2 linked regions of the Stegostoma tigrinum genome follow. The protein of the gene in region 1 purifies or fractionates together with the protein of each later gene. This does not show direct contact. Links are inferred from orthologs where the notes say so. Each region holds a gene or a part of one and is shown in the gene's direction. Other genes may lie near its edges. The genes, in order: mlf1 and dnajb6b.

Region 1 (12,580 bases):
GAAGGGATGGGTGAGAGGAAGAACAGATTAGGGATGCAGAGAGAGGTTGGACTGGTTTTGGGATGCAGTGGGTGGAGGGGAAGAGCTGGGCTGGTTGTGTGGTGCAGTGGGGGGAGGGGACGAACTGGGCTGGTTTAGGGATGCAGTTGGGGAAGGGGAGATTTTGAAACTGGTGAAGTCCACATTGATAACATTAGGCTGCAGGGTTCCCAGGCGGAATATGAGTTGCTGTTCCTGCAACGTTCGGGTGGCATCATTGTGGCACTGCAGGAGGCCCATGATGGACATGTCATCTAAAGAATGGGAGGGGGAGTGGAAATGGTTTGCGACTGGGAGGTGCAGTTGTTTGTTGTGAACTGAGCGGAGGTGTTCTGCAAAGCGGTCTCCAAGCCTCCGCTTGGTTTCCCCAGTGTAGAGGGAGCCACACCGGGTACAGTGGATGCAGTATACCACATTGGCAGATGTGCAGGTGAACCTCTGCTTAATGTGGAATGTCATCTTGGGGCCCGGGATAGGGGTGAGGGAGGAGCTGTGGGGGCAAGTGTAGCATTTCCTGCGGTTGCAGGGGAAGGTGCCGGGTGTGGTGGGGCGAACAAGGGAGTCACGGGGAGAGTGGTCTCTCCGGAAAGCAGACAGGGGTGGGGATGGAAAAATGTCTTGGGTGGTGGGGTCGGATTGTAGATGGCGGAAGTGTCGGAGGATGATGCGTTGTATCCGGAGGTTGGTGGGGTGGTGTGTGAGAATGAGGGGGATCCTCTTTGGGCGGTTGTGGTGGGGAGCGGGGTGTGAGGGATGTGTTGCAGGAAATACGGGAGCCGCGGTTAAGGGCGTTCACGATCACTGTGGGGGTAAGTTGCGGTCCTTGAAGAACTTGGACATCTGGGATGTGCGGGAGTGGAATGCCTCATCGTGGGAGCAGATGCGGCGGAGGCGGAGGAATTGGGAATAGGGGATGGAATTTTTGCAGGAGGATGGGTGGGAGGAGGTGTATTCTAGGTAGCTGTGGGAGTCAGTGGGCTTGAAATGGACATCAGTTACAAGCTGGTTGCCTGAGATGGAGACTGAGAGGTCCAGGAAGGTGAGGGATGTGCTGGAGATGGCCCAGGTGAACTGAAGGTTGGGGTGGAAGGTGTTGGTGAAGTGGATGAACTGTTCAAGCTCCTCTGGGGAGCAAGAGGCGGCGCCGATACAGTCATCAATGTACCGGAGGAAGAGGTGGGGTTTGGGGCCTGTGTAGGTGCGGAAGAGGGACTGTTCCACATAACCTACAAAGAGGCAGGCATAGCTTGGGCCCATGCGGGTGCCCATGGCCATCCCTTAGTCTGTAGGAAGTGGGAGGAGTCAAAAGAGAAGTTGTTGAGGGTGAGGACGAGTTCGACTAGGCAGATGAGGGTGTCGGTGGAGGGGGACTGGTCGGGCCTGCAGGACAGGAAGAAGCGGAGGGCCTTGAGGCCATCTGCATGCGGAATGCAGGTGTATAGGGACTGGATGTCCATGGTGAAGATGAGGTGTTGGGGGCCAGGGAATTGGAAGTCCTGGAGGAGGTGGAGGGCGTGGGTGGTGTCACGGACGTATGTGGGGAGTTCCTGGACCAAAGGGGAGAAAATGGAGTCCAGATAGGTGGAGATGAGTTCGGTGGGGCAGGAGCAGGCTGAGACGATGGGTCGACCAGGGCAGGCAGGTTTGTGGATTTTGGGAAGGAGATAGAAACGGGCCGTGTGGGGTTGGGGAACAATGAGGCTGGCGGCTGTGGGTGGGAGGTCCCCTGAGGTGATGAGGTCATGAATGGTATTGGAGATGATGGTTTGGTGCTCGGGTGTGGGGTCATGATCGAGGGGGCGGTAGGAGGTGGTGTCAGAGAGTTGGCGTATGGCCTCGGCGATGTAGAGGTCAGTGCGCCATACTACCACTGCACCGCCCTTGTCTGCGGGTTTGATGGTGAGGCTGGGGTTGGAGCGGAGGGCTGCCCGTTCTGCGGGGGAGAGGTTGGAGTGGGTGAGAGGGGTGGAGAGGTTGAGGCGGTTAATGTCTCAACGGCAGTTGGAGATGAAGAGGTCGAGGGAGGGTAGGAGGCCTGGGGGTGGTGTCCAGGAGGAGGACTTGTGTTGGAAGTGGGTGAAGGGGTCAGTGGAGGCGGGGTTAGGCTCCCAGTTGAAGAAGTAGGCATGGAGGCGAAGACGGCGGAAAAACTGCTCTATGTCCAATCGTGACTGGTATTCGTTGATGTGTGGTTGTAGGGGGACAAAGGTGAGCCCCTTACTAAGGACTGACCGTTCGTCCTCGATCGTGGGAGGTCTGGGGGGATGGTGAAGATGCGGCAGGGTTCGGTGTGGCTGTCTCCTCTGGGGTTGCTGGCTGTGGAGGTTGTGGGCGGAGCGATGAGGGCGTCGGCCATGGGCGGGGTTCCGTCGGCGTCGGCCGTGGGCGGGGTTCCGTCGGCCGTGGGCGGGGTTCCGTCGGCGTCGGCTTTGGGCTGGGTTCCGTCAGCGGTGGGAGGATCGGGGTGGGCGGCAGCAGCTGCGGTGAGGGTGGTGTGTGAGGTGTTGTGACTGGAAGTGGAGGCGGTGACTGCAGCAGCGGTCCCGGAAGTGGTGTGGCCGGCGGAGGCGGATGTGACGTCATCGGTGGGGTCTCCGGCCGTGTCCTCATGGTCAATGGCAGCGGGTGCATGGTGGGGGAGGGGCAGGGACAGACTCGGGATTTGGGAGGCGCAGGGATCCTCTTGTGGGAGGCAGGGGCCAGTGAGTTGGTTGTACTTACGATTTTTGGTGTCCAGTAAAGCTAAGTGGAACTGGGTGTTCAGTCTGTGGATCCTGCGGAGGATAAAAAACAGCAGGGGTCCTTTGCAGGTCTGGGAGAGGGAGGCACTGAGCTGGGGCAGGCTGGATTGCAGTGTGTGGAGGTGCCGGCGCATGGCTGCGAGTGTCTGTTTCAGGAGTCGCAGGGAGAAACGCTTCTGAAGGGTCTGAATATTCTGGGTATAGAGGTGGTCACGGTTGGGGCCAAATTGGGAAGGCTGAAATGTCGTTCTCACACACCACCCCACCAACCTCCGGATACAACGCATCATCCTCCGACACTTCCGCCATCTACAATCCGACCCCACCACCCAAGACATTTTTCCATCCCCACCCCTGTCTGCTTTCCGGAGAGACCACTCTCTGCGTGACTCCCTTGTTCGCTCCACACTGCCCTCCAACCCCACCACACCCGGCACCTTCCCCTGCAACCGCAGGAAATGCTACACTTGCCCCCACATCTCCTCCCTCACCCCTATCCCGGGCCCCAAGATGACATTCCACATTAAGCAGAGGTTCACCTGCACATCTGCCAATGTGGTATACTGCATCCACTGTACCCGGTGTGGCTTCCTCTACATTGGGGAAACCAAGCGGAGGCTTGGAGACTGCTTTGCAGAACACCTCCGCTCAGTTCGCAACAAACAACTGCACCTCCCAGTCGCAAACCATTTCCACTCCCCCTCCCATTCTTTAGTTGACATGTCCATCATGGGCCTCCTGCAGTGCCACAATGATGCCACCCGAACGTTGCAGGAACAGCAACTCATATTCCGCCTGGGAACCCTGCAGCCTAATGGTATCAATGTGGACTTCACCAGTTTCAAAATCTCCCCTTCCCCAACTGCATCCCTAAACCAGCCCAGTTCGTCCCCTCCCCCCACTGCACCACACAACCAGCCCAGCTCTTCCCCTCCACCCACTGCATCCCAAAACCAGTCCAACCTGTCTCTGCCTCCCTAACCTGTTTTTCCTCTCACCCATCCCTTCCTCCCACCCCAAGCCGCACCCCCATCTACCTACTAACCTCATCCCACCTCCTTGACCTGTCCGTCTTCCCTGGACTGACCTATCCCCTCCCTACCTCCCCACCTATACTCTCCTCTCCACCTATCTTCTTTTCTCTCCATCTTCGGTCCACATCCCCTTCTCTCCCTATTTATTCCAGAACGCTCACCCCATCCCCCTCTCTGATGAAGGGTCTAGGCCCGAAACGTCAGCAATGGATTCATGATCATCTTTTAATTCCAGATATTTATTGAATTCAGATTCCACCATCTGCCATGATTGGATTCGAACCCGGGTTCCCAGAATGTTATCTTGATCTCTGGATTAACAGTCTAGTGATAATACCACTAGGCCATCACCTCCTTTTGTTCATGTCAGTAAAGGGAAGATATAACGTTCATGGTCTCGTGAGACCAATTCACTACAGGTTACATGGAAATGGAGAATTTTAGCTCAAATAAATGAGGACAGAAATGATTTTGACCATTTACGGAAGCAAAGCAAATTTGGGACTTACAATAAAGACAAAAACCCAGAAATGCCCAGAGTGTGATCAATTGATGTGTTAGATGTGTTTCAAGATACTATTATACCATGAGCTCTCCTAAATGGACAACCTTCATTGGAGCAGGATATTTTAGTACAAGTAGTGTGTAATGAGGTAGGATTAATAAGAGATCTCACAGTAAAGGATCCTCTGGGGTAGTTTTCATAACTTTATAAAATTACAAATTCAATGCGGGCAATTACGGGGGTATTGAAAAAGAGCCATCGAAAGAAGGCTGGGATAAATAAGTCATATGAAAGTCAGTGGATGAGCAGTGGCAGGCATTTCAACAGGTATTTCATCATGCTCGGCAAAACATTATTCCAGTGAAGAAGGACTCAATGAGCAAGATAAACCACCACGGTTAACAAAGGCAGTCATGGAAATATCCAATCAAAAAGTACAAAACAGTGAAAACTAGTGGTAGGCAAAGGATTGGAATTTCTTTTAGGAACCAGCAGCAAATGACTGAAAAGCTAATAAACAAGGAGAAATTTGAAAGTAAGTTGGCAAGAAATATGAAACAAACAGCAAGAGCTTACATGGGTATATAAACAGGAAGAGAATAGCTGAAGTAAGTATCTATTCCTTGGAGTGCACAAGTGGGAAATTAATTGATTAATTAACTGGGAAACTGTATACAATTTAAACCAATATCTTGTAATTGGCCTTGAGGCAAAGGACATTATAAACTGCCAAAGATAACAGATAAACAAGGTGCTATTAGAGGAAAGGTCTTGTAACAGAAACAAAGTATTTGACAAATTAATGGGATTAATGCAGACAAGTTGCCAGGACCCAATAGCTTGCATCCAAAGATTTTAAAAAGGAGGTGGCGACAGAGATGTTGAGGCATTGGTTGAAATATTCCAGAATTCTTAGGAATCTGGGAGGGTTCCAATAGATTGAAAATCTGCTAATGTGATGCCTGATTCAAAAAGGGAGAGAGACAGACATCAGTAAATTATTAAGACAGTTAGTCTAGGGTCTTCTTGTTAGACTGGAAACCCTTTACACACCAGTTCGTGGAAGTCCCTGAAGAACCTAGACACTGGAAAAATACAGATGGTAGCATACACGATCTCAACCTCTTCAGATTTATCTTGATGACAACTAGATAAACTAAATCTGGCAAGCTGCGTCAGAAGCTTGGCAATTTTGGGCAAACTTATAATTGTCTTGACATAAGGTCTAGTTCTTAAAATGTTCCAGATGTTTTGCTGCACCCTTCAGATGACCACTCATTGATTTTCTGGGACTTGATGAGTTCAAATTCTGCTCCAGAGACTTAAGCCCAAAAATCCAGGCTAATACTCTCGGGGCAATACTAAGATACCGATAACTGTCTCTCACATGGACAATAAAGATGTTATGGTAATACTTCAAAGATGATTACAGGAATTCTTTCTTTTGTCCTGCATATTTTTTATCCCACAACCAACACTACTGAAAGAAGACATTAACCAGTCATAATCATTCGCTGCACACAAATAGATTGCCTTTGTTTTTTGTGTTACAAGGAAGGTTACACATCAAAAAATTCTTAATTAGCTGTAAAGCATTTTGATACATCCCTGAGATTATGAAAAGTGTTAGACAAATGATACTGGGGTGAGTTCGCTGGACAGCTTGATTTCAACACAGAGTCATACCTACATTGGGTTCCATCCCCTCAATAGCTGAGGTTAAGGACTTTCTTTTAGACCGTCTTCCCTCACCTGAGGCAGGGTGACCATGAGTTAAACCAGCACCAGTCATCTCTGTCGCTGATGAGAGGGTAACTTTATGGTCCAGAAGGGCTATAGCAACTTTATACAAATGCAAATCATGTTTTGTTCAAATGAATACTCTGATAATCTTTTGTTCCACATTTATCTCAGCAGCTTAACAATTTTCCAAAATATATTTTGTTTATTTTTCTGTCTTAAAAGTTTTTCTGAGCTCATAGCTCTGGAACCCAAAGCTGGAAAATGGGATTTGTCTGATAAGTTGTTTTTCTGACCTAGCACTGATGAAAGAATGGGCCTTGTGGCCTTCTTCTACACCATGAATATTTTTCCTAAGTAATGTCAGTTATCTTGTAGATAAATGTACATGGTCACTCAATACTTTGTAAACTTTTTCCACCATTATTTTAGTTTTTAATTGCATTAACTGTAAGTTTTGTCCAATTTGAAAAATATTACATTTTCACATTCAAGATTAGCACTTATGTTTCTTAACAAAATTAGTACTTTTATGTTACTCTATCTTCACCTCATTCTGAAATATGATTTTGGTTGGCATTCACTGAAATGCGCTCATTTTAAAGTTTAAATCTTACACCATTTACTAATGGTAAAGCTTGGAGACATTGTGGACCTTGATCAGCAAATATCTACTTTGTATATAACAAAGTGTGGCGCTGGATGAACACAGCAGGCCAAGCAGCATCTCAGGAGCACAAAAGCTGACGTTTCGGGCCTAGACCCTTCATCAGAAAAGGGGGATGGGGAGAGGATTCTGAAATAAATAGGCAGAGAGGGGGAGGCGGATCGAAGATGTGGAGAGGAGACAGACGAGTTAAAGGGGCGGGGATGGAGCCTGTAGAGGTCCGGAGGTAGGGACGGGATAGGTCAGTCCGAGGAGGACGGACAAGTCACTCCCCTCGCATTCCTTAGACGACACATCCATTCTGGGCCTCCTGCAGTACCACAATGATGCCACCCGAAGGTTGCAGGAACAGCAACTCATAGTCCGCTTGGGAACCCTGCAGTCCAATGGTATCAATGTGGACTTTACAAGCTTCAAAATCTCCCCTCCCCCCATTGTATCCGAAAACCAGCCCAGCTCGTCCCCGCCTCCCTAACCTGTTCCTCCTCTCACCTATCCCCTCCTCCCACCTCAAGCCGCACCTCCATTTCCTACCTACTAACCTCATCCCACCTCCTTGGCCTGTCTGTTCTCCCCAGACTGACCTATCCCCTCCCTACCTATACTCACCTCTACAGGTTCCATCCCCGTCTCTTTGACCTGTCTGTCTCCTCTCCGCCTATTTTCTCCTCTATCCACCTTCGGTCCGCCTCCCCCTCTCTCCCTATTTATTTCCAGAACCCTCTCCTCATCCGCCTTTTCTGGTGAAGGGTCTAGGCCCGAAACGTCAGCTTTTGTGCTCCGAAGATGCTGCTTGGCCTGCTGTGTTCATCCAGCTTCACACTTTGTTATCTCGGATTCTCCAACATCTGCAGTTCCCGTTACCTCCACTTCATATATGTTTGTGTTGGATACCACAGGAGCGCGTCGCTATCGCTGTCAGCCAAGCGCGCATGCTTGCCAGCATCTGCAGTTCCCATCGACTATGCTTGCCACTGTATCTCGTGCAAGTGATGTCATAACCCTTCTGTTTGTGATACGGCGGCGCACCGACCTCTGATTGGAGGTTTGGACCATTATCGAGGGAGACGGGCCGATTGGACGGATTTCCACCAATCACCGTGCAGCCCGCCTTGTGCGCGTTGCCATAGCGACGTTGGCGTCGTCCTTCAAAACAAAAACGTGGGTCTGCCTGTTGAAGTTTCCCTGAGAGTCAGTCGGAAGAGGCACGGGCTTCGTTCCCTGAAGGAAGGAAGGGAGGGTGGGTGGGTAGGTAGGTTGGATAGATGATTGTAAGCGATCTGGAGGGCGCTGAGGAATCTGAACGTGCGAGGGCGCATCGCCAAGTTTAAGCGAGGCTGAGAAAGTGCCGAGTCGAGCGGCCGTGACCCCCCCCCCCACCCCGGACCCTACACCATGTTCCGTGAGATCGAGGAAGATCCGTTCTTCTCGTAAGCTTGGGTTACAATATTTGCTTAAATCGCTGGGGTGCTTCCTTTATATTTCCCCTGTATTTCTTTCCACATTTGGGAGAGATATTCCTCTTGAGCAGGGCGTGAGGCTTGTTGGAGGAGGGAGGGGCGTGCGTTTCTTAAACAGTGTAGACGGAGGCACAAAATATATATATTCCCCCATTGTTGGAAGTCGGGAGAGCAAGGATGATGCAGGTTTGATGCAGGCAAAAAAAATCAATGGGAGACAGGAGAAACAAAATCAGAAATTTTTCAGCAGTTCTGGCAGCATCTGTGGAGAGAAATCAAGAGTTAACATTTCGAGTCCAGTGACCAGAACATGAAACATTTCCGGATAGTCATTGATTGGCGTCCAAGTCCTGAAGGCAGGTTCAATGGAAGCATCCAAGTCGGAATTGAATTTTTAAATTCATTTTTGTGGGTTGCGGGTGTCGCTAGCAGGCCAGCATTAATTGCCTGCCCCCAGTTGGTGTTCAAGGATAGTACACACAGCTGCCCCTGAGTATCAGTGGTGGAGGGAGTGAATTCTTGGAGATGAAGTGCCAGTCAAGTGTGCTTTTTTGTTCTGCATGGTATCAAGCTTCTGCAATGTTATTGGAGCTGTGCCCATTCAGGCAATTGGGGTCTATTCCATCACACTCCTGACTCGTGCCTTTGTAAATGGAGAACAGGCTTCGGTGGGGGAAGTGGGGATCAGTAGGTGAGTTACTCACAGTATTCCTGGCCTCTGACCTGCTTTGGTAGTCACTGTGTTTACGTGGTGAGTCCAGTTCAGTTTCTGGTCAATAGTCACCAATCCCCCCCAGGATGTTGTTATTTGGGGAATCAGTGATGCTAACACCATTGGAATGTCAGGGGCAGTGGTTAATTTGTCTGTTATTGATGGTGGTCATAACCTGGCATTTGTGTGATGTGAATATTGTTTGCCACTTGTCAGCCCAAGCCTGGATATTGTCCAGATCTGTTGCATTTGAATTTAGACTGCTTCAGTATTTGAGGAGTTGCAAATGGTGCTGAACATCTTACGATGATGGGAAGGTGATCGAAAAAGCAGCTGAAGATGTTTGAGCCTAGGACACTACCCTGAGCAACTCTGGCAGAGATGCCCAGGAGCTGAGATGACTGACTTTCAGGAGTGGGTTTAGGGTAGTGATGACGTGCAGAAGTTGGGGCTAGGTGTGATTGGATATGGAAGATGGTTGTGGTTGCTAGGGGTCAGTCATCTCAGGATACCCCTGCGGGTGTTTCTTAGGGTGGTGTCGAAGGTCATCCATCTTCAGCTGCTTCATCAATGGCCAGCCATTTGTCATAAATCGAAATGGGATGTTCATTGATGATTGAGTGCACAAATGTTCAGTGCCATTGTCAACTTCTAAGGTACTGAAGCAGTTCATGTTCAAATGCAACAAGGTGTGGATAATATCCACACTTGGGCCAACAAGTGGCAAATAACATTCACATCACACAAAGGCCAGGCAATGACCATCACCAATAATAGGCAATTTCGATGCCGCCCCTTGACATTCAGTGGTGTTAACCATCACTGAATCATGTATTATCAACAACCTTGGATTTACCGTTGACTAGAAACTGAACTGGACTCGCCATAAAAATACAGTGGCTACAAGAGCAGGTCAGAAGCTAGGAATACAGTGGTGAATAACGACTTCCTGACTTCCAAAGCTTGTTCCAAAACTAAGAGGCAATATTTTTAAGGTAGGAGAAGAAAGTGTTTTTTTAATGCAGGAAGTGGTTCATGTGTGGAATGAACTGCCAGAGGAAGCGATGGATGCAGGTACAGTTACAGCATTTAAAAGACATTTGGATAAGTACATGCATAAGAGAAAGTTTGGAGGGATACAAGCCAAATGCAGGCAAATGGGACTAGTTAAGTTTAGGAACATGGTTGGCATGGTCTAGTTGGGCCAAAGTGTTTGTTTCCAAGACTCTAACTACAAGCCAAGAGTGTGATGGACACTCCACACTTGCCTGTATGAACGCCGCTCCAACAAGAAGGTTGACACCATCCAGGACAAATCAGCACATAATTGACATCACATCCACAAACATCCACAACGTCTACCAGAACGCTTCGTAGCAGCAATGTGTACTATCTTCAAGGTTCAATTCAGAAATTTGCTAAAATCTTAAACAGAACCTTCCAAATCCATAACCACTTCTTTCCAGGAGGAAAAGGACTAAGATACATGGGAATGCCGTAATTTGCAAGTTCCCTAGCAAGCCACTCACCATCTTGAGTTATTGCAGTTCCTTCAGTGTAACTGGGTCAAATCCTGGAATTGCCTCCTGAACAAGATTGTGGATCTACTTGCAGTACATGGACTGCAGCAGCTCATGAAGACAGCTCACCACCACCTTCTCAAGGACAATTAGGGACGAACAATGAGAATGACGGCCAACTAGCGACACCCACATCCTGTGGATGAATTTTTAAAAATAGCTTTGTCACCAAACCTCTCTGTTGTGGCCACAGCCCTTTGGTCTAGGCTGGTTGACTAACTTAATTTTACTGGGCTTCTCCGTTATGCTTTGCACAGATTGCACAGCTTTGACTGCTATGTCTCAGCCATTGCCAGGCCTATACCAATGGTGCTCCATAAGTTGCAATATTTATATCTTGGGTCCCCATTCTGAATCTTGGTTTATCATGTCTGGAGTTTAGTTTGATGCCTCTTCCCAATGGGAATATATCTCTCCTGATTTACCCTAGGATCATTCTTATTCCTTAAAGCCTTTCATTTATTCTTCTAGTTCACCCTGAACATAATACAATCTCCATGTTTATCATGATCTTGTCCCTGCACCATCTTTAATTACTTCATTCACAAACTTCCTTTTTGGTTTGAATCCTCAAATGGACCACACAGTTCTTACCTAAACCCTGACTTCATTATTTAACTTGTAATTAAGTAAATATACTCGCTTGTCCGTTGATGTAAAGCCTCAACCTTCCTGCTGAAAAAGCCAGTTGTGGTGAAAATCGTGAAAAATTACCACTGTCACACTTAAAGATTTTATTCAAGTGTAGGCAAATGAGAATATGACTCAATTACCTGGAGAAATGCTCAAAAATCCTGAATTTTCGGTACACATTTGTAATTCTCATCTACATGCTGGCCCATGTAATGCCCACCTTTAGATTTGGCCTGCCCGCCTGCTGGTTTCCATGGTAATTCAACTGTTTTGTCTGACCTATCAGTTCCCCTTATCTCCTTTCTCTATGCAGTAATTAATATACTTACACAGGGTGTTACTTTTACGTGATGAAAAATGTTGAGCATTACTATAGCACTCATTTCAAGAATATCATGCACTTCAATTTTAACCCCATTAATATTAAGCCGTTTATTCTTGCTTTAATGCAAATCATTACTCATTATTTTAATTCAAAAATTGGGTAGCGGAAAGAGGAGAAACAAAATCTAATGAATTGAAATGGGACCTTTTAATAATTGTTCATGTATATTTTTCTTTACATGTTTATTATTACCGAGCTCAAATCACATACAAGACCTGCGAAATGCATCCTGTTCAAACTTTATGACTGAGCAGTTTTCTTTTGTGCCAAATACTTTCTGATCCTAAGTTTATCCAAGAATTGAATACTTCATGTCTGTGGAAATACTTCTCACAACTTTGAACTCCTGATTGAGATGCAAGCCAACCTTGTTTATCAATCACACAGCCTATTTTATGTTCATTACTAGTTAGCTCATTAGTGGATGACTTTCATTGAAGGAAGGTGTGGAGCTGATGGCTGGAATCCAGACCCTGCAGTTTGAGCCCCGACAACCACTCCTGTCCTCCATCACTTGATGTTTCATAAAATTTTAGGGATTGAGCCTTACTTGATAAAAATTTTCCCAGTATCTTCCGTCATTATTGTTGCTTTTACTCTCTAGCTCCCCTCTTCTAGACCAGGTGGACAAGTCCAGATAGTAGATAGGATGAGTGAGGACTGAGATGGGAGGGAGCACAGTATTGAGTGGAGGGTCAAGTGGGGACAGAGGACATTTCTAAGTGAGATTGAAGGGCAGGAGTGAATGAATGTGTGGAGAGAAAGTATGAGAGTTTTGGGGGATGGGGAGGTTGTAATTATGTGAGATTGATAGTCTAAGTAAATAGTAAAAAGCTTTATCAAACATAAACTTGGAAACAGAGGACATCTTATCTAGAGGATGTTACCTAACTACACTACGACATAGATTCTTTGAAACATATTGTTATGATCACAGATCAGAACCACAAAATACTATGGATATTTTGAATTTACTGTTCCAAAATGTTTTTTTTAAAGCGTCAAATACAACAAAAACTGGCTGTGGTTGTAAATGAAGTGACTGTCTCGAGCAAGAGGCACCCACAGAATTTGACAACTACAG
Region 2 (12,480 bases), on another chromosome or scaffold:
GGGAGTCACAGAGGGAGTGGTCTCTCCGGAAGGCAGACGAGGGTGGGGATGGAAAAATGTCTTGGGTGTGGGGTCGGATTGTAGATGGCGGAAATGTCGGAGAATGATGGGTTGTATCTGGAGGTTGGTGGGGTGGGATGTGAGGACGAGGGGGCGGGGTGTGAGGGATGTGTTGCGGGAAATGCGGGAGACATGGTCAAGGGCGTTCTCGACCACTGCGGGGGGGAAGTTGCGGTCCTTGAAGAACGCAGACATCTGGGACGTGTGGGAGTGGAATATCTCATCCTGGGAGCAGGTGCGGTGGAGGTGAATGACTTGGGAATAGGGGATAGAATTTTTGTAGGGTGGTGGGTGGGAGGAGGTGTATTCTAGGTAGCTGTGGGAGTCAGTGGGCTTGAGGTGGACATCAGTTTCTAGCTGGTTGCCTGAGATGGAGACAGAGGTGACCAGGAAGGTGAGAGATGTGTTGATGCACCTCCCAGTCACGAAGCATTTTAACTCCCCCTCCCATTCCTTAGATGACATGTCCATCATGGGTCTCCTGCAGTGCCACAATGATGCCACCCGAAGGTTGCAGGAAGAGCAACTCATATTCCGCTTGGGAACCTGTAGCCCAATGGTATCAATGTGGACTTCACAAGCTTCAAAATCTCCCCCCCAACCAACTTCATCCCAAAACCAGCCCAGCTTGTCCCCTCTCCCCACTGCATCACAATACCAGCCCAGCTCGTCCCCGCCTCCCTAACCTGTCCTTCGTCTCACCTATCCCCTCCTCCCACCTCAAGCCACACCTCCATTTCCCACCTACCAACCTCATCGCGCCTCCTTGACCTGTCCATCCTCCCCGGACTGACCTATCCCCTCCCCACCTATCTTCTTTTCTCTCCATCTTCAGTCCGCCTCCCCCTCTCTCCCTATTTATTTCAGAACCCTCTCCCCATTCCCCTCTCTGATGAAGGGTCTAGGCCCGAAATGTCAGCTTTTGTGCTCCTGAGATGCTGCTTGGCCTGCTGTGTTCGTCCAGCTTCATACTTTGTTATCTTCGACCTCCGTTAGAACTGGGTGACCATTTAACCAGATTTTATTTTGATTGGTTCTGATTTTGATTTTGCTAAGCAATTTAACTGCTCCAAACCATGTGTCCGTGGACTCTCCAGCATGTGCACTCGCTTGGATACTGCCTAATGAGTTCTCTTATTCCTTTTTGATCCAATGGGACTCTTTTGCTGTCTTGAGTCTGCATACCGGCAATAACTACAATGGCTTGTCAGCCCAGATCCCGAAGAAAATTTTTCACCATTTGGCTGAGGCTTGGCTTTGTTTTAGTGTTTTGCTGTGGACTGACCTCGCGTTCCTCTGTTCAGGATAAGTCCTGAGTGATGCACTGCAACTGTGTTTACTCAAGTGGAGTTCCTCACACTCACTTGGACCGGCAAGGGTGTCCACGTCTATTGGAATACCCTGTAACTCCCACGCTCCACTTGTCACATTTTCCATTGATAAAGCCAGTTGTAGTGCCTATTTGAAGTCCAGTTTGGTTTCAGTTGGTAGGTGCTTTTGAATGGTTACATCATTAATCCCACATGAGCTGGGCTTGTTTTGGGATGCAATGGGGGGAGGGGGGCGAGCTGGGCTGGTTTTGGGATGAAGTCGGGGAGGGGGAGATTTTGAAGTTTGTGAAGTCCACACTGATACCATTGGGCTGCTGGGTTCCCAAGCGGAATATGAGTTGCTGTTCCTGCAACTTTCAGGTGGTATCATTCTGGCATTGCAGGAGGCCCATGATGGACATGTCCTCTAAGGAATGGGAGGGGGAGTTAAAATGGTTCACGTCTGGGAGGTGCAGTAGTTTATTGCGAACCGAGCGGAGGCGTTCAGCAAAGCAGTCCCCAAGCCTCCGCTTGGTTTCCCCAATGTAGAGAAAGCCTCACCGGGTACAGTGGATACAGTATACTATATCGGCACATATGCAAGTGAACATCTGCTTAATATGGAAAGTCATCTTGGGGCCTGGGATGGGGGTGAGGGAGGAGGTGTGGGGACAAGTGTAGCACTTCCTGCAGTTGCTGGGGAAGGTGCTGGGTGTGGTGGGGTTGGAGGGGAGTGTGGAGCGGACAAGGGAGTCACGGAGAGAGTGGTCTCTCCAGAAGGCAGACAAGGGTGGGGATGGAAAAATGTCTTGGGTGGTGGGGGCGGATTGTAGATGGTGGAAGTGTCGGAGGATAACGCGTTATATCAGGAGGTTGGTGGGGTGGTATGTGAGGACGAGGGGGATCCTCTTAGGGCGGTTATGGCAGGGGTGGGGTGTGAGGGATGTAAGCTGCAGGAAATGCGGGAGACACGGTCAAGGGCGTTCTCAACCACTGCGGGGCGGAAGTGGCGGTCCTTGAAGAACTTGGCCATCTGGGATGTGCGGGAGTGGAATGCCTCATCCTGGGAGCAGATGTGGCGGAGACGAAGGAATTGGGAATAGGGTATGGGGATTGATGGAGTAGCTTGGCATATCCGGACAAAGGACAAAGCTAAGGTACTTGCATCCATCTTCCACCAGAAGCACCAAATAAATTATATATCTTAGCCTTCTCCTTAGGTACCCGATGTCACATATTCAGTTTTTCGACAATTTGACTGACAACATGTTAACAAGAAACATCTGAACGTGCTGGATACTACAAATGCAATGATCCCTGATGCTGCCCTCTTATGGTGCAGTGGTAGTGTTCCTATGCCTGGACTGAGGGGCCTGGATTCAAGTTTCACCTGCTCCAGAGGTGTAATAACATCTCTGAACTGTTTGATTAGAAAAATAGGTTTTAAAAAAGAGCCCTCACAACATTCCAGCAATAACACTAAAGTTTGGGTGTAGAAATAGTCATGTTCCTAACCAAGCTGCTTCAGAACATCTACAAAACTGAGACCTACCCAACAGGATAGCTGTGGTTCTTGAAGGTCAGTTATGTCATTCTCAGGACACTACTGCAGGAGTTCTTTATCAATTGCTTTATCAATGACTTTCTCTCCTGTATAAGGTAAGAAGTGGAGATGGTTGCTGACGATTGCGCAATATTGAATACCATTTGCAACTCCTCAGATACTGAAGCAGTCGATGCTCATACGCAGAAATACCTGGGCATTATCCAGATTTTGGCTGATAGGTGACAGTTAACATCCACAGGCAATGGCCATCTCTAATGAGAGAATCTAACTAGTGCCTCTTGACATTCGGTGGGATTACTATCAATAAATTCTCCGATATCAACATCCTGTGAGATATCATTGACCAGAAACTGAACTGAACTAGTTACATTTATACTCTGGCTACAAAAATACGTCAGAGTCTTAGAATTCTGTGGCAAGTAACTCACGTCCTAAGTTCCCAAATCTAATCTATCTTCTACAAGACACAAATAAGGAGTGTGATGAAATACTCCCAATTGCCGGGATGAGTACAGCTCCACAACACTCAAGAAGCTTAACACCACCCAGGGCAAAGTAGTCTACTGGAATGATACTAATCCACCACCTCAAACATTCAGTCCCTACACCACCTCCACACAGCGGCAGCAACATGTGCCATCTCGAAGAAGTGCAGCAGTAACTTACCAAAAGATAGTAAGTACTGCAGATGCTCGAGTCAGAGACAACACAGTTTGAAGTTGGAAAGTTGGTTTTTCGGGGCAGGACACTTCTTCAGCCCAGTCCTGAAGAAGGGTCCTAACCCGAAACATCAACTTTCCTGCTTCTCTGATGCTGCCTAACCTGCTGTGTTTCTCCAGCTCCACACTGAGTTGTCAGTAACTCACCAAGACTCCCTCAACAGCACCTTCCAAACCAGTGGTCTCCAACATCTAGAAGGACAAGGCAACAGATACACAGGAGTGCAACCACTCACATATTTCGTTCAAAGTTACACACCATCATGACTTGGAACTATAATTGCTATTCCTTTACTGCCACTAGATTAAAATTTGGGGAACGGTGTCCTGCTAGTACTGGAGGTATTTTTGCTATCTTAAGGTCAACATCAGTTAATGAAAGGGGCTTACCACCATCTTCTCAAACCAGGACAATAAAATGCTGGTCTAGTTAACAAGACCCACATCATATGACTGACCCAGATCAACTATGAAAAGAACGCACTCCAAAAAGAATATATTTCCCTCTTTGAAAGAATAAGATGGATTAAAATTAATACAGTCATTTTCAGAAAAAGGATGAAACATAGTGTAGATAAGTGAGACATGAGAAATCTACTGCGGAGTTGTAGAATAATTACTGCACAGAAGGAACTTGTTTAGCTTGTCGTGTTTGCACCAACTCTTTTCAGGAGCAATTCACCAAGTGCCACTCCTTAGTCCTCAAGCTGTGGCACTGCACAACTTTCCTTTTCAAATAGTACCCCAACTGATTTTTGAATGCCACTAGCAAACTCACAGGGAGTACATTCCAGATTCTAACTATTTGTTGCATGAACATTTCCCATGTTCATCACTTTTTCTTCTAGAACATAGAACAGTACAGCACAGTACAGACTCTTTGGCTACACTGTTGTGCCAACCTATTATCCTATTAAGATCAAGCTACCCTGCATACCCTACATTTTATTATCAACCATGTGCCTATCCAAGAGACACTTAAAAGTCTGTAAAGTATCTGACTCCACTACTACTGCTGGCAGTGCATTCCATGTGCCCACCACTCTCTGTGTAAAGAACCTACTTCTGACATCTCCCCTGTACCTTCCTCCTATCACCTTAAAATTATGCCCTCTTGGACTAGTCATTTCTGCCCTGGGAAAATGTCTCTGGCTATCCAGTCCATCTATGCCTCATGATCTTGTACACTTTCCTCAAATACCTTTAAAATTCATGCCTTCATAGGCTTGCTTCTTCCTCTCTACTGTGTTAAGCTGCACTTGATCTTGAATATCTGTACCAAATCAAGAAAAAAGAGTTACCTGGTTGAACAGAACTTGATATAGTTGAAACAGGCATTTTGACAGAGCTAATGGGAACTGCAGATGCTGGAGAATCCAAGATAACAAAGTGTAGAACTGGATGAACACAGCAGGCCAAGCAGCATCTTAGGAGCACAAAAGCTGACGTTTCGGGCCTAGACCCTTCATCAGAAAAGGGGGATGGGGAGACGATTCTGAAATAAATAGGGAGAGAAGGGGAGGTGGATAGAGGAGAAGATAGGTGGAGAGGAGAGTATGGGTGGGGAGGTAGGGAATGGTTTGGTCAGCCCGGGGAGGATGGACAGGTCAAGGGGCGATTAGTAGGTAGGAAATGGAGGTGCGGCTTGAGGTGGGAGGAGGGGATAGATGTGAGGAAGAACAGGTTAGGCAGGCTGGGACGAGCTGGGCTGGTTTTGGGATGAAGTGGGGGAGGGGAGATTTTGAAGCTAGTGAAATCCACATTGATACTAATGGGCTGCAGGGTTCCCAAGCGGAATATGAGTTGCTGTTCCTGCAACCTACAGGTGGCATCATTATGGCACTGCAGGAGGCCCATGACGGACATGTCATCTGAAGAATGGGAAGGGGAATTGAAATGGTTCGCGACTGGGAGGTGCAGTTGTTTATTGCGAACCGAGCAGAGGTATTCTGCAAAGCGATCCCCAAGCCTCCGCTTAGTTTCCCCAATGTAGAGGAAGCCACACCGGGTACAATGGATACAGTATACCACATTGGCGGATGTGCAGGTGAACCTCTGCTTAATATGGAAAGTCATCTTGGGGCCTGGGATTGGGGTGAGGGAGGAGGCGTGGGGGCAAGTGTAGCACTTCCTGCGGTTGCAGGGGAAAGTGTCGGGTATGGTGGGGTTGGAGGGGAGTGTGGAGCGGACAAGGGAGTCGCGGAGAGAGTGGTCTCTCCGGAAGGCAGGCAAGGGTGGGGATGGAAAAATGTTTTTGGTGGTGGGGTTATTGTTTTGTCCAATTTCAGCAATACTCAAATCAAGAACACAAGAACAATGAGTAGGCCATTTGGACACTTCAGCATGTTTTGCTGTTCAGTAAGATCAAGTTGATGTGACTGCAGTTTTCAACTCCACTCTCCTGAGTGCCCTATTCCCGCTAACTATTTCCTCCCACTTATCAAATATCCACCCAACTGCATCTTGAACCAATTCAACCACTGGATCCAGAGGAAGTAGACTCCAAGCGTATTATCTCAGTCTTAAATGGATCACCTGCTATTTTGAAACCATGCTCTGCACTGTTCCATCCGCTTAGCATCCATCGTGTCAAGTAACCTTAAGATCTAAAGTCACTAGGAGACAGTAGTAACCAAAGATGCTGGAGTCAGTGTCAATACAGTGTGGAACTGGAGGATCACAGCAGGTAATGCAGTTTCAGAGTTACAGGAATGTCGATGTTTCAGGTTTACGCCATTCCTCTAGACTGTCTCCCTGATGCTGCCTGATCTGCTGTGTTCCTCCAGCTCCACACTTAACCTCAAGATCTTATAAGTCTCATTCTTCTTCACTCTATTAAGTACTTGCTGAACATTTCCTCATCCCTAAAAAAGGTGGGATTATTGTGAACAAATAAGGCTGATGCCTGCGTGTTTGGCTATGCATAAAGAGGATCGCACAATGTAATGTCCAACCACTGGGCAACAGAGCCCAGGTGGAAATTCCAACAGTGTCAAAGGTGTGTTCTAGCCTGTACTATCATAAAAACTTAAGAATTAGGAACGGGAGTAACCTCAAGCGTGTTCCACCATTCAATAAATCATGGCTTATCAGACATTCCTCACATCCACTTTCCTGCCTTATCACTATAACCCTTTATTTCCCTACTGATTAAGATCCTATATTAGCCATAAACGCACACAAGAACTCTTGGTTCTTTGTGGCAAACAGTCCACAACCCTGTGAGAGAAGAAATTCCTCCTCATATCAGTCCTAAATTGGGGCCAACAACAAAAACAGAAGTTGCAGGAAAAGCTCAGCTGGTCTGTTATCATCAGTGAAGAAGAAAAAATGTGTACTGAGCAAGGGGTCACTGGTCCCGAAACGTTAAACTCTTGAGTTTTTTTCTTCACGGATGCTGCCGGACCTGCTGAGCTTTTCTAGCAACTTCTGTTTTTGTTTCTCCCAGCATTGACCCTGTCAAGCCCCTTACGAATCCAAGATGTTTCATTGAGATCACCTTTCATTCCTGTAAACTCCAGTGCTTTGTTTTCCCCGCTTGTGTGGTGAACGATTAGCCGGCTTCACATCACCACCACGTGATACCAGGCCACCGTTCTCTCGCCATTTTCCAGAAATTTCAAAGGTGACGTCACATATGAGCAGCGGTCGGGCGACGTCATAATGACGCAATAACTGCCAAAAGGAAGTGACGAAGCGGAGATTTTTTTCCCCTCTCTCCGTTCGGCGGCCGGTGGATGTTTCTAGAGCGGGAGTTGTTGGTGAGGGCGAAGTCTGGGTTGTAGTAAGTCGGAGCAGGCGTACGGAACCGAGAGGTGAGACCTTAAAAAGAATACTCCAGGATAGCCTCCCAAGCGCGTAGCCGGTCGCGATTGTCGTCAGCTCAGATTTATGCTGGCAGAGGGGAGTGAGGCCGAACGGGGGAGGCGTACTGCCAGCGAGAGAGAGAGAGAGAGAGAGAGAGAGAGAGACAGAGACAAAACAAAATGGGTGAAAGGCCGTTGGTTTATCTAAATGCGTGGGCCTTTCGGCCTTGGAATAAAGCTGATTTCGCTTGAGGAAACAGGTTGTTATGGAGATGGGGTGCTGACCAAAGAAAACAAAAGCCTCTCTTCCATTCCTGTATTCTCCAACTTGTGTATGTCTTTGTCTGTCTTCTCCCCTGCCGCGTGTGTGTGTGTGTCTCCGTCTACCTTCTCCCCTGCCGTGTGTGTGTGTGTGTCTCCGTCTACCTTCTCCCCTGCCGTGTGTGTGTGTGTGTCTCCGTCTATCTTCTCCCCTGCCGTGTGTGTGTGTGTGTCTCCGTCTATCTTCTCCCCTGCCGTGTGTGTGTGTGTCTCCGTCTATCTTCTCCCCTGCCGTGTGTGTGTGTGTGTGTGTCTCCGTCTATCTTCTCCCCTGCCGTGTGTGTGTGTGTGTGTCTCCGTCTATCTTCTCCCCTGCCGTGTGTGTGTGTGTGTCTCCGTCTATCTTCTCCCCTGCCGTGTGTGTGTGTGTGTCTCCGTCTATCTTCTCCCCTGCCGTGTGTGTGTGGGTGTCTCCGTCTATCTTCCCTGCCGTGTGTGTGTGGGTGTCTCCGTCTATCTTCTCCCCTGCCGTGTGTGTGTGGGTGTCTCCGTCTATCTTCTCCCCTGCCGTGTGTGTGTGGGTGTCTCCGTCTATCTTCTCCCCTGCCGTGTGTGTGTGGGTGTCTCCGTCTATCTTCTCCCCTGCCGTGTGTGTGTGGGTGTCTCCGTCTATCTTCTCCCCTGCCGTGTGTGTGTGGGTGTCTCCGTCTATCTTCTCCCCTGCCGTGTGTGTGTGGGTGTCTCCGTCTATCTTCTCCCCTGCCGTGTGTGTGTGGGTGTCTCCGTCTATCTTCTCCCCTGCCGTGTGTGTGTGGGTGTCTCCGTCTATCTTCTCCCCTGCCGTGTGTGTGTGGGTGTCTCCGTCTATCTTCTCCCCTGCCGTGTGTGTGTGGGTGTCTCCGTCTATCTTCTCCCCTGCCGTGTGTGTGTGGGTGTCTCCGTCTATCTTCTCCCCTGCCGTGTGTGTGTGGGTGTCTCCGTCTATCTTCTCCCCTGCCGTGTGTGTGTGGGTGTCTCCGTCTATCTTCTCCCCTGCCGTGTGTGTGTGGGTGTCTCCGTCTATCTTCTCCCCTGCCGTGTGTGTGTGGGTGTCTCCGTCTATCTTCTCCCCTGCCGTGTGTGTGTGGGTGTCTCCGTCTATCTTCTCCCCTGCCGTGTGTGTGTGGGTGTCTCCGTCTATCTTCTCCCCTGCCGTGTGTGTGTGGGTGTCTCCGTCTATCTTCTCCCCTGCCGTGTGTGTGTGGGTGTCTCCGTCTATCTTCTCCCCTGCCGTGTGTGTGTGGGTGTCTCCGTCTATCTTCTCCCCTGCCGTGTGTGTGTGGGTGTCTCCGTCTATCTTCTCCCCTGCCGTGTGTGTGTGGGTGTCTCCGTCTATCTTCTCCCCTGCCGTGTGTGTGTGGGTGTCTCCGTCTATCTTCTCCCCTGCCGTGTGTGTGTGGGTGTCTCCGTCTATCTTCTCCCCTGCCGTGTGTGTGTGGGTGTCTCCGTCTATCTTCTCCCCTGCCGTGTGTGTGTGGGTGTCTCCGTCTACCTTCTCCCCTGCCGTGTGTGTGTGGGTGTCTCCGTCTATCTTCTCCCCTGCCGTGTGTGTGTGGGTGTCTCCGTCTATCTTCTCCCCTGCCGTGTGTGTGTGGGTGTCTCCGTCTATCTTCTCCCCTGCCGTGTGTGTGTGGGTGTCTCCGTCTATCTTCTCCCCTGCCGTGTGTGTGTGGGTGTCTCCGTCTATCTTCTCCCCTGCCGTGTGTGTGTGGGTGTCTCCGTCTATCTTCTCCCCTGCCGTGTGTGTGTGGGTGTCTCCGTCTATCTTCTCCCCTGCCGTGTGTGTGTGGGTGTCTCCGTCTATCTTCTCCCCTGCCGTGTGTGTGTGGGTGTCTCCGTCTATCTTCTCCCCTGCCGTGTGTGTGTGGGTGTCTCCGTCTATCTTCTCCCCTGCCGTGTGTGTGTGGGTGTCTCCGTCTATCTTCTCCCCTGCCGTGTGTGTGTGGGTGTCTCCGTCTATCTTCTCCCCTGCCGTGTGTGTGTGGGTGTCTCCGTCTATCTTCTCCCCTGCCGTGTGTGTGTGGGTGTCTCCGTCTATCTTCTCCCCTGCCGTGTGTGTGTGGGTGTCTCCGTCTATCTTCTCCCCTGCCGTGTGTGTGTGGGTGTCTCCGTCTATCTTCTCCCCTGCCGTGTGTGTGTGTGTGTGTGTGTCTCCGTCTATCTTCTCCCCTGCCGTGTGTGTGTGTGTGTGTGTGTGTGTCTCCGTCTATCTTCTCCCCTGCCGTGTGTGTGTGTGTGTGTGTGTCTCCGTCTATCTTCTCCCCTGCCGTGTGTGTGTGTGTGTGTGTGTGTGTCTCCGTCTATCTTCTCCCCTGCCGTGTGTGTGTGTGTGTGTGTGGGTGTCTCCGTCTATCTTCTCCCCTGCCGTGTGTGTGTGGGTGTCTCCGTCTATCTTCTCCCCTGCCGTGTGTGTGTGGGTGTCTCCGTCTATCTTCTCCCCTGCCGTGTGTGTGTGGGTGTCTCCGTCTATCTTCTCCCCTGCCGTGTGTGTGTGGGTGTCTCCGTCTATCTTCTCCCCTGCCGTGTGTGTGTGTGTGTGTGTGTCTCCGTCTATCTTCTCCCCTGCCGTGTGTGTGTGTGTGTGTGTGTGTGTCTCCGTCTATCTTCTCCCCTGCCGTGTGTGTGTGTGTGTGTGTGTCTCCGTCTATCTTCTCCCCTGCCGTGTGTGTGTGTGTGTGTGTGTGTGTGTCTCCGTCTATCTTCTCCCCTGCCGTGTGTGTGTGTGTGTGTGTGGGTGTCTCCGTCTATCTTCTCCCCTGCCGTGTGTGTGTGGGTGTCTCCGTCTATCTTCTCCCCTGCCGTGTGTGTGTGGGTGTCTCCGTCTATCTTCTCCCCTGCCGTGTGTGTGTGGGTGTCTCCGTCTATCTTCTCCCCTGCCGTGTGTGTGTGGGTGTCTCCGTCTATCTTCTCCCCTGCCGTGTGTGTGTGGGTGTCTCCGTCTATCTTCTCCCCTGCCGTGTGTGTGTGTGTGTGTGTGTCTCCGTCTATCTTCTCCCCTGCCGTGTGTGTGTGTGTGTGTGTGTGTCTCCGTCTATCTTCTCCCCTGCCGTGTGTGTGTGTGTGTGTGTGTGTCTCCGTCTATCTTCTCCCCTGCCGTGTGTGTGTGTGTGTGTGTGTGTCTCCGTCTATCTTCTCCCCTGCCGTGTGTGTGTGTGTGTGTGTGTGTCTCCGTCTATCTTCTCCCCTGCCGTGTGTGTGTGTGTGTGTGTGTGTGTGTGTGTGTGTGTCTCCGTCTATCTTCTCCCCTGCCGTGTGTGTGTGTGTGTGTGTGTGTGTCTCCGTCTATCTTCTCCCCTGCCGTGTGTGTGTGTGTGTGTGTGTGTCTCCGTCTATCTTCTCCCCTGCCGTGTGTGTGTGTGTGTGTGTGTGTGTGTCTCCGTCTATCTTCTCCCCTGCCGTGTGTGTGTGTGTGTGTGTGTGTCTCCGTCTATCTTCTCCCCTGCCGTGTGTGTGTGTGTGTGTGTGTGTCTCCGTCTATCTTCTCCCCTGCCGTGTGTGTGTGTGTGTGTGTGTGTGTGTGTGTGTGTGTCTCCGTCTATCTTCTCCCCTGCCGTGTGTGTGTGTGTGTGTGTGTGTGTGTGTGTGTGTGTCTCCGTCTATCTTCTCCCCTGCCGTGTGTGTGTGTGTGTGTGTGTGTGTGTGTCTCCGTCTATCTTCTCCCCTGCCGTGTGTGTGTGTGTGTGTGTGTGTGTGTGTCTCCGTCTATCTTCTCCCCTGCCGTGTGTGTGTGTGTGTCTCCGTCTATCTTCTCCCCTGCCGTGTGTGTGTGTGTGTGTGTGTCTCCGTCTATCTTCTCCCCTGCCGTGTGTGTGTGTGTGTCTCCGTCTATCTTCTCCCCTGCCGTGTGTGTGTGTGTGTCTCCGTCTATCTTCTCCCCTGCCGTGTGTGTGTGGGTGTCTCCGTCTATCTTCTCCCCTGCCGTGTGTGTGTGGGTGTCTCCGTCTATCTTCTCCCCTGCCGTGTGTGTGTGGGTGTCTCCGTCTATCTTCTCCCCTGCCGTGTGTGTGTGTGTGTGTGTGTGTGTGTGTGTGTCTCCGTCTATCTTCTCCCCTGCCGTGTGTGTGTGTGTGTGTGTGTCTCCGTCTATCTTCTCCCCTGCCGTGTGTGTGTGTGTGTGTGTGTCTCCGTCTATCTTCTCCCCTGCCGTGTGTGTGTGTGTGTCTCCGTCTATCTTCTCCCCTGCCGTGTGTGTGTGTGTGTGTGTGTGTGTGTGTGTGTGTGTCTCCGTCTATCTTCTCCCCTGCCGTGTGTGTGTGTGTGTGTGTGTGTGTCTCCGTCTATCTTCTCCCCTGCCGTGTGTGTGTGTGTGTGTGTGTGTGTGTCTCCGTCTATCTTCTCCCCTGCCGTGTGTGTGTGTGTGTGTGTGTGTGTGTGTCTCCGTCTATCTTCTCCCCTGCCGTGTGTGTGTGTGTGTGTGTGTGTCTCCGTCTATCTTCTCCCCTGCCGTGTGTGTGTGTGTGTGTGTGTCTCCGTCTATCTTCTCCCCTGCCGTGTGTGTGTGTGTGTGTGTGTGTGTCTCCGTCTATCTTCTCCCCTGCCGTGTGTGTGTGTGTGTGTGTGTCTCCGTCTATCTTCTCCCCTGCCGTGTGTGTGTGTGTGTGTGTGTCTCCGTCTATCTTCTCCCCTGCCGTGTGTGTGTGTGTGTGTGTCTCCGTCTATCTTCTCCCCTGCCGTGTGTGTGTGTGTGTGTCTCCGTCTATCTTCTCCCCTGCCGTGTG

What was found.
Region 2: the proteins of mlf1 (region 1) and dnajb6b purify together in Homo sapiens (affinity purification with mass spectrometry; 3 studies listed by BioGRID and IntAct, counting the BioPlex papers as one, with this or other methods). This does not show direct contact. The link is inferred for Stegostoma tigrinum from reciprocal best matches to the Homo sapiens genes MLF1 and DNAJB6.

Annotation. Positions count from the first base shown.
Region 1 is NC_081367.1:25,750,710-25,763,289, forward strand, and holds the start of mlf1 (myeloid leukemia factor 1), read left to right. Parts: upstream 1-7,988; 5' UTR 7,989-8,121; coding exon 8,122-8,156; intron 8,157-12,580. UniProt on the Homo sapiens protein: Involved in lineage commitment of primary hemopoietic progenitors by restricting erythroid formation and enhancing myeloid formation.
Region 2 is NC_081355.1:140,057,896-140,070,375, reverse strand, and holds the start of dnajb6b (dnaJ homolog subfamily B member 6b), read left to right. Parts: upstream 1-7,326; 5' UTR 7,327-7,471; intron 7,472-12,480. UniProt on the Homo sapiens protein: Has a stimulatory effect on the ATPase activity of HSP70 in a dose-dependent and time-dependent manner and hence acts as a co-chaperone of HSP70. Plays an indispensable role in the organization of KRT8/KRT18 filaments.